3 linked regions of the Sus scrofa genome follow. The protein of the gene in region 1 binds, or shares a complex with, the protein of each later gene. Links are inferred from orthologs where the notes say so. Each region holds a gene or a part of one and is shown in the gene's direction. Other genes may lie near its edges. The genes, in order: AP2B1, ARRB1 and LDLRAP1.

Evidence for each region.
Region 2: the proteins of AP2B1 (region 1) and ARRB1 are in contact, whole or in part, in a crystal structure (PDB 2IV8), measured with the Homo sapiens proteins. The link is inferred for Sus scrofa from reciprocal best matches to the Homo sapiens genes AP2B1 and ARRB1. Residues at the interface, in NP_001273.1 of Homo sapiens: Arg834, Gln835, Phe837, Leu838, Trp841, Lys842, Asn846, Glu849, Ile876, Ala877, Arg879, Val881, Glu882, Gln884, Tyr888, Glu902, Arg904; in NP_004032.2 of Homo sapiens: Asp384, Asp385, Val387, Phe388, Glu389, Phe391, Ala392, Arg393, Arg395, Leu396.
Region 3: the proteins of AP2B1 (region 1) and LDLRAP1 are in contact, whole or in part, in a crystal structure (PDB 2G30), measured with the Homo sapiens proteins. The link is inferred for Sus scrofa from reciprocal best matches to the Homo sapiens genes AP2B1 and LDLRAP1. Residues at the interface, in NP_001273.1 of Homo sapiens: Arg834, Gln835, Phe837, Leu838, Trp841, Glu849, Gln851, Ile876, Ala877, Arg879, Val881, Glu882, Gln884, Met886, Tyr888, Glu902, Arg904, Ser915; in NP_056442.2 of Homo sapiens: Asp253, Leu255, Asp256, Ala258, Phe259, Ser260, Leu262, Ala263, Gln264, Arg266, Thr267.

The regions. Positions count from the first base shown.
Region 1 is NC_010454.4:39,906,259-39,910,157, reverse strand, and holds part of AP2B1 (AP-2 complex subunit beta), read left to right. Parts: intron 1-2,927; coding exon 2,928-3,063; intron 3,064-3,899. UniProt on the Homo sapiens protein: Component of the adaptor protein complex 2 (AP-2). Adaptor protein complexes function in protein transport via transport vesicles in different membrane traffic pathways.
Region 2 is NC_010451.4:9,540,115-9,544,013, reverse strand, and holds part of ARRB1 (beta-arrestin-1), read left to right. Parts: intron 1-2,382; coding exon 2,383-2,427; intron 2,428-3,183; coding exon 3,184-3,380; intron 3,381-3,899. UniProt on the Homo sapiens protein: Functions in regulating agonist-mediated G-protein coupled receptor (GPCR) signaling by mediating both receptor desensitization and resensitization processes.
Region 3 is NC_010448.4:83,029,363-83,033,771, forward strand, and holds the start of LDLRAP1 (low density lipoprotein receptor adapter protein 1), read left to right. Parts: upstream 1-1,266; 5' UTR 1,267-1,383; coding exon 1,384-1,471; intron 1,472-4,409. UniProt on the Homo sapiens protein: Adapter protein (clathrin-associated sorting protein (CLASP)) required for efficient endocytosis of the LDL receptor (LDLR) in polarized cells such as hepatocytes and lymphocytes, but not in non-polarized cells (fibroblasts).

The DNA.
Region 1 (3,899 bases):
CAAACCCGCAGCCTCATGGTTCCTAGTCGGATTCGTTAACCACTGAGCCACGATGGAAACTCCAAGATTTGAACTCTTTTAGAGAAAGTGGGATTTGTGCTGTGCCTGGAAAGATATTTCAAAGAAACAATAAACTGAGATGAGCACTTTGCAGGTTACCATATTTCAGTCTCCCCTGCAAGTCCCTCAAGTTGAGGGCTATCTGATAGAAGTACAGTGCAAGCCACATATGTATTTTTAAATTCTCTGGTAGCCACATTTAAAAAATAAAAAACAGATAACATTAATTTATAATAAGTAATATAATCTATAATCTAGTATGTCCAAAATAGTATAATTTCAGCATGAAACCAGTATTAAAAACTATGAATGAGGAGTTCCCGTCGTGGCGCAGTGGTTAACGAATCCGACTAGGAACCATGAGGTTGCGGGTTCGGTCCCTGCCCTTGCTCAGTGGGTTAACGATCCGGCGTTGCCGTGAGCTGTGGTGTAGGTTGCAGATGTGGCTTGGATCCTGCATTGCTGTGACTCTGGTGTAGGCTGGTGGCTACAGCTCCCATTCGACCCCTAGCCTGGGAACCTCCATATGCCAAGGGAGGGGCCCAAAGAAATAGCAACAACAACAAAAAAACCAAAAAGGCAAAAACTATGAATGAGATATTTTACATTGTATTTTCTGTATGAAGTCTTTAGAATTCATTGTGGTGGGGGTGGGGTTGGCTGTGCCTGCAGCATATAAAAATTCCTGGTCCAGGAATCAAACCTGCACCACAGCAGCAACCCAAACCACTGCAGTGACAACACTGGGTCCTTAACCTGCTGTGCCACAAGAGAACTTCCCGTGTGTATTTTATGCATGTATCACATCTCAGTTCGGACCAGCTGCATTGCAAATGCTCAGTAGGCTATGTGACTAGTAGCTGCCATTTGGAAAGTTTAGGTTTCTAGCTTTGTAGGTTGGTACTTAACAGTTTTTACCTCTAGAACTTGGACTCTTCTTGATGAGGATCTTCTTGATCTTGTGCAGGTTATTGAAATTAATTATTTAAGATCTTTAATTTACTCTTGGTTAATGTTTCGCATTTATTTACTGATTTTACTGTTTTACACATGAGCTATTCCCTTAAGAAATGGAAGGAACACTCATTTTTGGAAAGTGTTTATAGTGTTTGTTAAATATCTACATGTGCATGAAATTACACCAGGTACCTACATGCAAATAATTCGCCTTCCAGTGCAGAAGTCATTGGGTCGTTGGAGATAGGATGGATTATTTAACTGTGCATTCCATCTTCTTTTTTATAATTAATTCTATTTCTATATGTAGGCATACCTTGGAGATACCGAGGGTTCAGTTCCAGACCACTGTACTAAAACAAATGTCACAATAAAGCAAGTCCCACAAATTTTTTGGTTTCCTCGTGCATATAAAAGTTATATGATTTTACACTGTAGTTTATTAAGTGTGCAGCAGTAGCATTATGAATTTTTAAAAAGTATATACATCAGTTAAAAAATTATTGATTTAACCATTTTCTGACAATGTAGGGTTGCTGCAAACCTTTTTCTCATTTTTCCCTTTTTTTTGGCTGCATTCACGGCATGCAGAAGTTCCTGGGTGAGGGATCGTACACATGCCGCAGCAGCCACCTGAGCTGCTGCAGTGACACTTGTAGTGCTTTGAACTGCAAAGAATTGATATGAAGAATTACTGCTAGTTTTTGTGTGTGATATAGTGATTTAAAAAAAAAAAAGATTTCTGGAGTTCCCATGTAGTGCAGTAGGTTAAGGATCTGGCTTTGTCACTGCAGTGGCTCAGGTTGCTGCTGTGGTGTGGGTTTGATTCCTGGCTTAGGAACTTCCATGTGCTGCAGGTACAGCCCCCCAAAAAAAGGATACCTAAAGATGCACACTAAAATATTATATATGAGATATTATGTCTAGGATTTATTTCCCCCCTTTTTACAGCCACACCTGTAAGCATATGGAAGTTCCCAGGCTAGGGGTCAAATTGGAGCGCAGCTGCAAGCTTATACTACAGCTAGAGCATCTCAAGGTCTGAGCCACATCTTTGACCTGTACTGCAGCTTGCAGTGATGCTATATTGTTAACCCACTGAGCAAGGCCAGGGATCAAACCCGAATCTTCATGGACAGTATTTTGGATTCTTAACTTGCTGAGCCGCAACAGGAACTCTGTCTAGGATTTTTAAAAAAAATCGTTAAGAGCAACTAAATGAAGTAGGGACTGGGGGATTCTCTCAACTGAGTTGTATATGAAACAAGATTGGGTATGTATCATTACTTGTAGCTGGGTGATTGATACATCAGATTCATTATACTGCTTTCATAGTAAAATTTTTCTTTAAAATTTATTTTTAGACATCTTCTTGAGACCATTACTATTTTTTTTTTCATGGTGCAGTGACCGAAACTGTTGCAGTGATAATGCTGAGTCCTTAATCCACTGAGCCGCAAAAGAACTCCTATAATTTCTTTAGTAATTTATTTCTGTGATAATTATCACTGCAGGGAGATTTGTCCTTGCATCAAATCACTTTATAAATTAAGGCCATTTTGGAGTTCCCGCCGTGGCTCAGTGGTTATTGAATCCAACTAGAAACCATGAGGTTGCAGGTTTGGTCCCTGGCCTTGCTCAGTGGGTTGAGATCCGGCGTTGCTGTGAGCTGTGGTGTAGGTTGCAGATTCGGCTCTCATCCCGAGCTTCTGTGTTTCTGGTGTAGGCCAGTGGCTACAGCTCCAGTTAGACCCCTAGCCTGGAAACCTCCATGTGCCGCGGGAGTGGCCCTAGAAAAGGCAAAAAAGACCAAAAAAAAAAAAAGAAAAAGAAAATTAAGGCCATTTCTTTGTGTTCTATCCAACAGCTTGGCACAAACATCTGTTCATGTTCCCTTTCTCTCTTCTCAGCTCTCTGTTTCCAGATGTAGTGAATTGTATGCAGACTGACAACCTGGAACTAAAGAAGCTTGTGTATCTCTATTTGATGAACTATGCCAAGAGTCAGCCAGACATGGCCATCATGGCTGTCAACAGCTTTGTGAAGGTAACTCTTTCCCAGGGATTCAAGAGCAGTGTCTTTTCAGAAATGTCTCTTGATATAGTAAGTGTCTGCATTGCAAATAAGCAACCTCTGTTCCAAAAGAGAGCCTCTAGAGAAGTACTGGCAATGAGTAGGAATGTTCGTGTTTTAAGCATTCTGTGTGCCAGCGTTTGTCATCCAGTTCAAACCATATGGTGAGCCTTCTGTCAGCAGGGCTCGGTGCATTTTTGCCAGATGGGAGAAGAAAACCAGGTGAAACCTCACTGCTTTGCCTTCCAAGGCTAACAAAGGTTGAGCATGTCTTTGTAGTATCAGTATCTTGGGGCTTTACCTATTTTATCTCAGTAGAACTATGCTTATGGGTCAGAAGAAATGGAAACTGCAGGAACTGCTATTTAATTTTGTTTTATTCAGTAGGTCTTAGAACAGTTGATGAACTTTTTTGTCATTATGGAAATTTTCAAGCATCTTCAGGTAGAGGGAATAGAATAATAAATTGCTAAGTATCAGTCTTGTAGTTTCAATAGTCACCTGCCTGTGACCAGCCTTATTTAACTTATACTCTCCATACATGCTTCCCTGACTCCCCTCCTTTCCTACTGGTTACTTTTACAGTAAATCCCAAACATATGTAACTATAGTACCATTGTCACATCTTTAAAACCTGACCAGTAAGAAATTCCTTGGAATTCTTTTGCAACATAGCAGGGTTAAAGATACGGCATTTTCACTGCAGTGGGTTTTGTTGCTGCTGTTGTGTGGCCAAAAAAGAAGAAGAAGAAAGTAAATTTCTTAGTATTATTAGATATCAAGAGTCAAATTTGTCCTATCATTAGATT
Region 2 (3,899 bases), on another chromosome or scaffold:
TGGGACCCTAAGAACCTTAGCTCTCATTAGAAGAGCCCCGATCTTCCTGCCTCTTCCTGCTATTTGAAGATCACAGGCCCAGAATGACCCCTGTCTTACAAATGTGGACGGTGAGGCCCAGAGAGGGTAAAGATTAAAGAGGGACAGGGACAAACCCAAGTGAGACCGAAGAGGGTGACAGGCAGGAGAACGGCCCTGGGAACCTTACGAGGCCCATTCCAGGTGAAGACATTGGGATGTGTCGCCCGGGGGAAAATTCCCAGCAAGCTTGTCATCACATCCCTGGGGGCCGTGCTGGGGCCAAGAGGAGTGGCGTGTGGTCCCAGAGCCCCCCGGGCAGGGGAGGGGGCAGAGAGAGCAGAGTGACAGGCTTTGGCTCCGGGGAGGAAGGCCTTTGTGACCTTGGGGCAGGAGACCCGGGGAGTCCCTGGGGTCCTTGAACAGGCTGCGGGCTCCAGAGTCCTCCAGGCCCCTCTCTTCATGGCCTGGAGCAGGGGGACCCCGCTTTTCCTCTCCAGCCCTAGCAGGTGTCCTCTGAAGCTCACTGCTCCCTCTGCCTGATGCCCCCTTCTCCCTGAACTTGGAGGCAGGAGGCAGGACTCTGTGTTTGCCTGTGGCGGCTCCAAGGCGGGGCTGCCTGCAGGCGGTCTGAAGCCGGGGCCTTTGAGGGTCGTGGTGGGGGCGCAGGGGCCAGGGGAGGGGCAGGAGCAGGAGGGCTCTGGCTCCCCCAATGCACACAGGCACCCTGAGAACGGCTTGACAAGTGTCCACAGGGCACCCGTTTCATGCCAGGCCCTGTGGATCGCAGAGCACGCCAGAGCTGATCAAATGACCCGCAGAGAGAACTTTCTCCCTTACAGCACTGAGCTGGTTAGTTCTTCCCGATGCTTAACTATCCCCCTGGCTGCCCTTCAAACTTGGGGGCAAGTCCAAGCCCCAGCCTCACACACCGGACGTTTAAGGTCTGGGCCAGGCCCTCCTTCCTCCGCCAGCCTCCGGGATCAGCTCTCCAAGCCTCAGAGCAAGGCTCTTGTCGCTGCCACCATGGGCTGGCTGTCCCTTGGTCATCTAACTGATGACCGTTACGCCCTGGCTCCAGCTTCCCTCCCCCAGGGAGCTTCCGGGGGACCCCTTGTTAGGGGAGTGCCCTTGTCAGGGTCCCCCTCCTGGGGTTCCGCTCAGTCCCTGGCGCCCAGGCACAGAGGAAACCCCCCAGGAAAGGAGGGAAGGGGCCCGGCAGGCTCTGGACATGGGGTGGGCGTGCCCTTGACCAGCTGTGCCCTGGACCTGCCCAGCACTGGGGGTGGGGGGGGTGGTGACCAGGAGCTCGCAGGGCCCTCCCTTCCTAATGTGGCCTCTGAGCTTCTCTGAGCGGCTGGCTGTGGGCCAGTGTGGGATGGGGGTGGTGGTGGGTTAGATGGGGGATGACAGGCGAGGGAGTGCCCCCAAACCAGTCTTTCTGGTCTCCTGGGGTTCTGGGCAGAGAAAACATCCTTTGTCTTCAGCTGGATTCTGCCTTCCCAAGGCCAGGCCTTGGGACATTCTCCATGGGGTCACCTGTGCCAGGCACTCTCCCACCCTCTGCACACATTAATTCACGTGGTCCTCACAGGAGCCCTGTGAGGTACGTAGCCCAGAATCAGAAGCCTGATCCCTACATCCCGCATCCAGAATCTTAGAGCGCTGCAACTTGCTCATAGGCTTGATACAGGATTTCACTAGCGGCAAACCTGACCTGAACCGAGGGGAGGCCATTCATGCCTTCGCCTCTCGGTGAACAGATGCCCGTGTCGCTGCAGGGGTGTTAAGGGGTTTGGCACAGAGCCTGCCGAGGACCTTAGAGAATCTGTGGAAGGTGTGGCCGTGGCCTTTCCGCTTGATATTGGGGTTTGGGAGCCAGCATAGTATCTCCCAGATGAAGAAACAGAAGTTATATAACCTTAGAGTTCCCATCATGGCGCGGTGGAAACGAATCCGACTAGGAACCCTGAGGTTGCCGGTTCGATCCCTGGCCTCACTCAGTGGGTTAAGGATCCGGCGTTGCCGTGAGCTGTGGTGTAGGTCGCAGATGCAGCTCGGATCCCGGGCTGCTGTGGCTCTGTGGACCCTTAGGCCTGGGAACCTCCATATGCTGCAGGTACAGCCCTAAAAAGCCAAAAAAAAAAAAAAAAAAAAAGGCAAGTTAAACAACCTGTTGGGTCTGTGAGGCTGGCCTCGGTGGGGGTGGGGGGCATAGTGGACTCGTCTCCTGGGAGCTGCTGGCCTCCGCCTCTTTTTCATGATGCTTTTGGACAGACAGATGGGTGGGTTTGAATTTAACTTGGTCTTTGGGGCTCAGAAGTTTGAGAGGTCAAGTCTGCTCACTCTCTGTTTTTCCTGCAGATGGCGTGGTCCTGGTGGATCCTGAGTATCTCAAGGAGAGGAGAGGTGAGCTGTCCCCCCGCCAGCCTGTCAGGGGGCCTCTCCTCCCCCAGAACCCCCAGTCCCAAGGCCTCCCTGACTCCCAGACAGAACGCTGGCAGGAGGAGAGGCAGCAAGCCGGTCCCTGTCCCTCCCCACTGGCTCTTCCTTTGACAGCTCTAACCAGCGTCAGAGCAGGTGCTCTGGCCTCGTCTGGCTGGGCGGCCGTGGCCACGCCCCCTTTGGGAGACCCTCTTAATGCCCTTGGCATCCACCCACCCATCCATCATGCTGTCGGGAGGCTGGGAATGCAAACAGGGTAGGAGTTAGGCCCTCACTCACTGTCCAGAAGAGAAGACTGATTCCTGGGGGGGGCGAAGGGATGGTCCGAGGTCAGCAGGAAGGCGGGAGGCAGGGGTTGGGCGGGGCAAGCCCTCATGACTTCGGGACACCACCCAGGCTTGTTTTCCCCCGACTCCACTCCCCTGTGCTCCTTCCCGGCCCCTGTGAACCCGTCAGAGCCCCTTCGCCCCCGTGCCCTGGGCTGCTGGGTTGGGAGGGGTGGGGAAAGCTGAACGGACCCAGCAGTCAGCCCCCGCCTCGTCCCAGGGGCCAGGCCCCTGACGGCCCCCCCCCCTCCCTGTCCCAAGGGCAGCGCGCCCTTCCCCGGGGAGGCGCCCAGGGACAGATCCATGCCTCTGGTGGAGCCAGTCCCAGGGCTGGGGCGCGTGTTGGCTGCTCCCCGGCCCCCCGGCCCCTCCTCAGTGTCCCCTGCCCCCGCAGTCTACGTGACGCTGACCTGCGCCTTCCGATACGGCCGGGAGGACCTGGATGTCCTGGGCCTGACCTTTCGCAAGGACCTGTTTGTGGCCAACGTGCAGTCCTTCCCGCCGGCCCCCGAGGACAAGAAGCCCCTGACGCGGCTGCAGGAGCGCCTCATCAAGAAGCTGGGCGAGCACGCCTACCCTTTCACCTTTGAGGTCAGGGACTGCCAGCCCCCCGGGGGCCCCATTCCAGAAGCCTCACCTCTAGCAAGCCCCCTGGGTGGCCCCCCCTCCCAGGGGGCAAACTGGGGCAGCTGCTCCGTGCCACCCAGTCCCCCAGCGTTCGCTGGCCAGGGCGCTGGCACTTAACACCGCCTGGTGAGTGTCTCTTCTCTGGGCACTGCCAGGGGGCGTCACCTTTAACCCCTGGGCTGATCCCCAGACCCTCCTGAGTCCAGGTCATTGGTGGGGGGAAGAGGGGGATGGGCCGTCTCCTCCCTCAGACCTGCTGCCCACGAGCCGGCCCCCACCCAGCTCACAAATGAGGAGGGCGAGATTTCCCTGCTCGGCTCCCTTTCCACTCCAAGAATCTGGAGTTTCAAGTTTCCTGTTTCTCAGACTCTGATTCTTCGATCAGTGAAATCTCCCAGCTTTCTGTGGGGGTCAGAGACAGAAAGAGCCACCCTCTCGTGGTTTCCTGTGGCTGCTGTAACAAACCACTGCAAACCGGGTTGT
Region 3 (4,409 bases), on another chromosome or scaffold:
ACCAGCTGCCCTTCACCAGCCAGCCCCAGGTGACTGCTTTTCCTTCAGGCTTCAGAATATCCTCTCTCTGCCCCAGGAATGAGCTGGCTTGGGGTTAGAGAGCTGGGGGTTCAGCCCTGCGGACTTACTTAGCCCTCACTGCAGCCCCTGGCAGGAGAAGACAGCCTGCTGGGGCGAAAAGCTGGAGAGAGGGAGGAAAGGAGGGAAGAAGGGAGAAAATAAACACTGACTATATTCCAACTCCACTTGGACTTCTTCCTAGGCATTTGGGATTCAGAAATGAATCAGAAAAACTGACTGCCCTCGAAGGACACAAAGTGCGACGGAGGCAAAAAGAGTAGAAACGGGCAACAACCACACTCAGGCCTGTGGCATCTCACCAACAGAAGAAGTCAGGCTATGGTCTGAATATATGTGCTCTCCTTTTGACTCCCTTCCTAAAGTCTGATGGGAAGGCACAAGATCCTAGAGAGAATTCTAAATATTGGACTTAGAACATCTGTGCTTGAGGAATTCTGAGTCCAGACTCCCACTGAAGTGCCTTCTAGCAAGCAGGGGACCGTCTGGGTCAAGGTCTGGCAGGTTGAAAGAATCGCTAGAGGTAGGATCTCATCTCACTTTACAGATAAAGATTAAGGCCCAGAGAGGGAAAGGAGTTGCCCGAGGTCACACAGCAAGGCAGCGTCAGAGCTAAGGCTCCTTTCCCCACACCTCAGAGCATAAGACTCAGGCCACACCACCTCTGAGACTACTTGGGGAGTAGGGTGGGCAGGGGGCAGCCCAGAGTGCCCAGATGGTGCCAGGGAGAGGCTGGGTCTGTTGGGTGAGTCAAGTGCCCAACGGGTCTTGCTAAGGCAAACTTTATATGTCTGCCTGCCCCGTTGCCAGCAAAGTTCTATCACGGTCAGCTCTCCTTCCAAGCCTCTCACTGCAGTGGGCGTCACCCTCTTCTTCTCTCCGCCCCTCAGTCTCCCCATCAGTGAAATGGTTTTCAACGACTTTTCAGCTGTCGAGAAATCTTAGGCCAGCGCCTGCCTCCCGCGACGGGTGCGGCGGGTCTCCAACCCTCAAGCTCCTCCCCGTGGGAAATAAGGAAGTTGTGGAGAGGAAAGAAAAGACGGGGCGCCTAGGACTGTCGGCTCCCGCCTCAGGGGGGGCCCTTGTCTGACAGCTTTGGGGAGCTAGGGCAAAGGCCCGGCGGGGGGGCCAGGGGCAGGGCCAGGGGCGGGGCCGGGCAGGCCCTCGCCCCGCCCCGTCGGACGTCGGCGCGGAGCTCGCACGGGGAGGGGAGGAGCGCGGAGCCCGCGCGCCGCCTGGCCCCGGCGGAAAGTTTTCCCTGACGGAGTTTTGGCGGTGGCAGCAGCAGCGGCGGCCAGAGCGGCCATGGACGCGCTCAAGTCCGCCGGGCGGGCGCTGATCCGAAGCCCCAGCCTGGCCAAGCAGAGCTGGGGGGGCAGTGGCCGGCACCGGAGTGAGTGTGTGCGCGTCCAACCGGGCCGGGCGGGGGCCGGGCGGGGGTCGGGGCTCGCGGACCCGCCTCCTGCGGGCCCCGTGGGGAGAGGAAGGGCCTGACCCGCGCCCCGCGGCCTGGCGCGACCTTGCCCGGCCCTGCAGGGTTAGGGGTCGCCAGGGGTCAAGTTGTATTCCCGCTTCTGTCCCTACTCTGTGCGGCTGGGGACGAGGGGAGGAGACCGGAGCTCGGGGTCGCCAGGTGAGGTCTGCAGTGTGAGGGGGTTGCGGGTCACAAGAACAAACTTGCGCTGCCCCAGCGTCTCCCCACCTTGGACAGCTAGGGGAGGCAGGAGCTCGCCGTCGGTACCTGGGGGAGGGGGAGGGGGGGCAGGCTTTTAGGAAAATGCCCCCATCCCGCACCCCTGCACTCGAGCCCGGAGGTCCGCGACTGGCAGGAGCCCACTTGGCAACCCCCACCCCACCCCGGTCCTACCCACGAGGCCATCTTTTGACTCCTGGGCGCCCAGAAGCCGACTCAGGTGTGAGCCTAGGTTCCCAGGTACCTACTTGAAGTTGGGGGTGAGGCTCAGCTTGGGGTCTCAGAAGATATTGCACACCCGGCTATCTAGGCCCCGTTGTCCCTTCTTCTGGTTGGGTCCAGGTGGCAGGGCTGAGATCCTGCTATTTTTGAAACCTGCTTTTGTCTCCCACTTTCCCCCTTGAGCTTCCCAAGTCCCTGGGCGCCCAGGGGAATGGCAGAGCCACCTCTCCCAGGGGCCCCTGGGAGCCCGGGAGGAGCCTCGCCCGCCTTCCCCTCCTCTCCCTGTCTCCAGTTACTCTCTGGGAACCTGGCACCTGGCACCTTCCCCTGAGGCCTGAGAAACCCAGTCCAAGTCCCTCGTTTTTCATGAGGAGAAGCGGAGTGGCTTGCCTGGGGTCACACCTGCCATCCTGGTAGATGTGGAGCCAAAGCCAGGACTCCTGCACACTCCCACTCCTCTGCCAACTGCCTTGGCCCCTGGCCTCTCCTGCACCAGGAAACTGCTGTCAGTATAGTCACACCCCACCCCCTTCCCTCTTTGCCTTCCAGGGCTCCACCAGGGGAGCCCGAGTTCCCCAGGCCCGGGAGTGCCAGCGTGTCTGGGCCTAGGGAGCCCGCCTGCCCCGCCTCTTGCCCACTCTGCTCTTCCAGCTGTGGCTGCCTTTTAAACCAAGACTGGCACTGGGAATGTGGCCTGGTGCCTGCTGGTGGGGGTGGGGTCAGAGACCATCAGGGCTGGAGCAGGTCAGGGATGCACCATCTCCCTCAATTATTGGCTCCCAAAATAGCTCCTTTAAATATTTGTGGGATTTGACCAAGACTTCTGAGAATGATGGCCTGTTCCAATGGGGGAATCCTGCAGTTTCCCTAGGGATAAGGGAAGGGGTGGGCCCTGGACACGGGAAGGATACTTAGCAGCCTTGCTCAGTACCGGGAAGGGGAGAGGTAGCCACCTTGGATGGTGGAAAAGTTTTTCCTTCCTTCTCTGGTTTCAGGCAAGTCACCTGTCCTTTCTGATCCTCAGTTTCCTCATTTGCAAAACCGGGATAAATATTCTCACCTGGCAGGGGTGTTGTGAAGGTTGTTGATAATGCTTCTGGTTGGTGGTTTCTTTCCCCCTCACTCCCCTTCCCCCTGCCTGTCATGTGGACATTCAGCGTAACTCTTAATGTAGCGGAACGAGTTCTGGGGGCTCAGAGCCTGCCTCCATCTTCAGAGAAAAGGAGAGGAGAGCCCCCCTTCTCTTAGGTAGCCCCCCCCCCCAAATCAGAGTGTTATCCTGGAGCCTTCTGGAACTGGAAAGAGCTGGGGCAGATCCCCACCTGTCCCTCATTATTAAGTCAGTTTTCTCACTTGTCAATAACAGTAGTAGCTGCCTCAGATTTCGTTGTTGTTGGGAGTTAAATCGTGTTTTGCCTGGCATAGAGAAAGAGTTCAATAAATGGTAACTACTGCTTTTGTCACTCTACCTTTTCCACAGTGTTTTTGCTTCCATTATCGCATTTGCTCCTGTGAGGTGACAGAGCAGGGGTTCTTATCAGACTCATTTTACAGATAAAGGAGCCTGAGGCTCAGGAAAGTAGGGTCATTGGCCCCAGCATGGAGTTTCCAAGAGCTAGCTCTGAATCCCTGCAGGGGTCTTATCAGTGTTGCCACATGGACTCTGGCCATGGAAGCAACTGGGGCAGGGCTGGTGGCCCCTGAGGTTGGCAGTGGCCACAGGTAGAGCTGGAAACTGTGGGGTGTGTCTGGGGTGGGAGTGCTGGAGCAGCCTGGCCTGCGGTGGTGTCTCAGCCAGGCCTTGGACCCATCCCTCAAGGTATGAGCCCTGTTGTTGAGTTTTGGGGCCAAACTGAAGCCAGAAGTGTTAAGGTTAGACTTGACACCTGCTATCAGCTGTGACTTGCTCCTCACCCCTCCAGGCCCTCAGCTGGGATTAACTTGATTATTGTTTTATTTGCAGAGAAACTGAAGCCCAGAGAAGGCCTTGCCTGAGGTCCCAATGCAAAGCCAGCAGTAGATAGTCTTCTTTGCACTGAACCTCATTATCCCCTGTCTCCCAGTTAGTCCTGACTTTGAAGGAGCGCTCACTCCCTCTCCCATGCATGGTTCCCTCCACCCCTGTCTCTTTGGGGGCCATAAATATTTTGTCTCCCTCCCTGCCTAGAGCTTTCCTTTCTTCCAGCTGCCTGGAAGGGTGGCTCACCCTGGTCCCTCCGTACCTTTATTTCCGAGAGGAGTCCCTCTGACCCTCGGGCTCCTCTATGGGTTGTCAGAAAACTCCCTGAGAATGGGGCAAGCATCCAGGATACAGATTTCACTAGAGCTAGTTCATGGTGGTAGGCAGGGGCTGGAGGATCTCTCCATACTTATTTATAAGGCTTGCAATGAATGAGACAAACCCCAAACCATATTG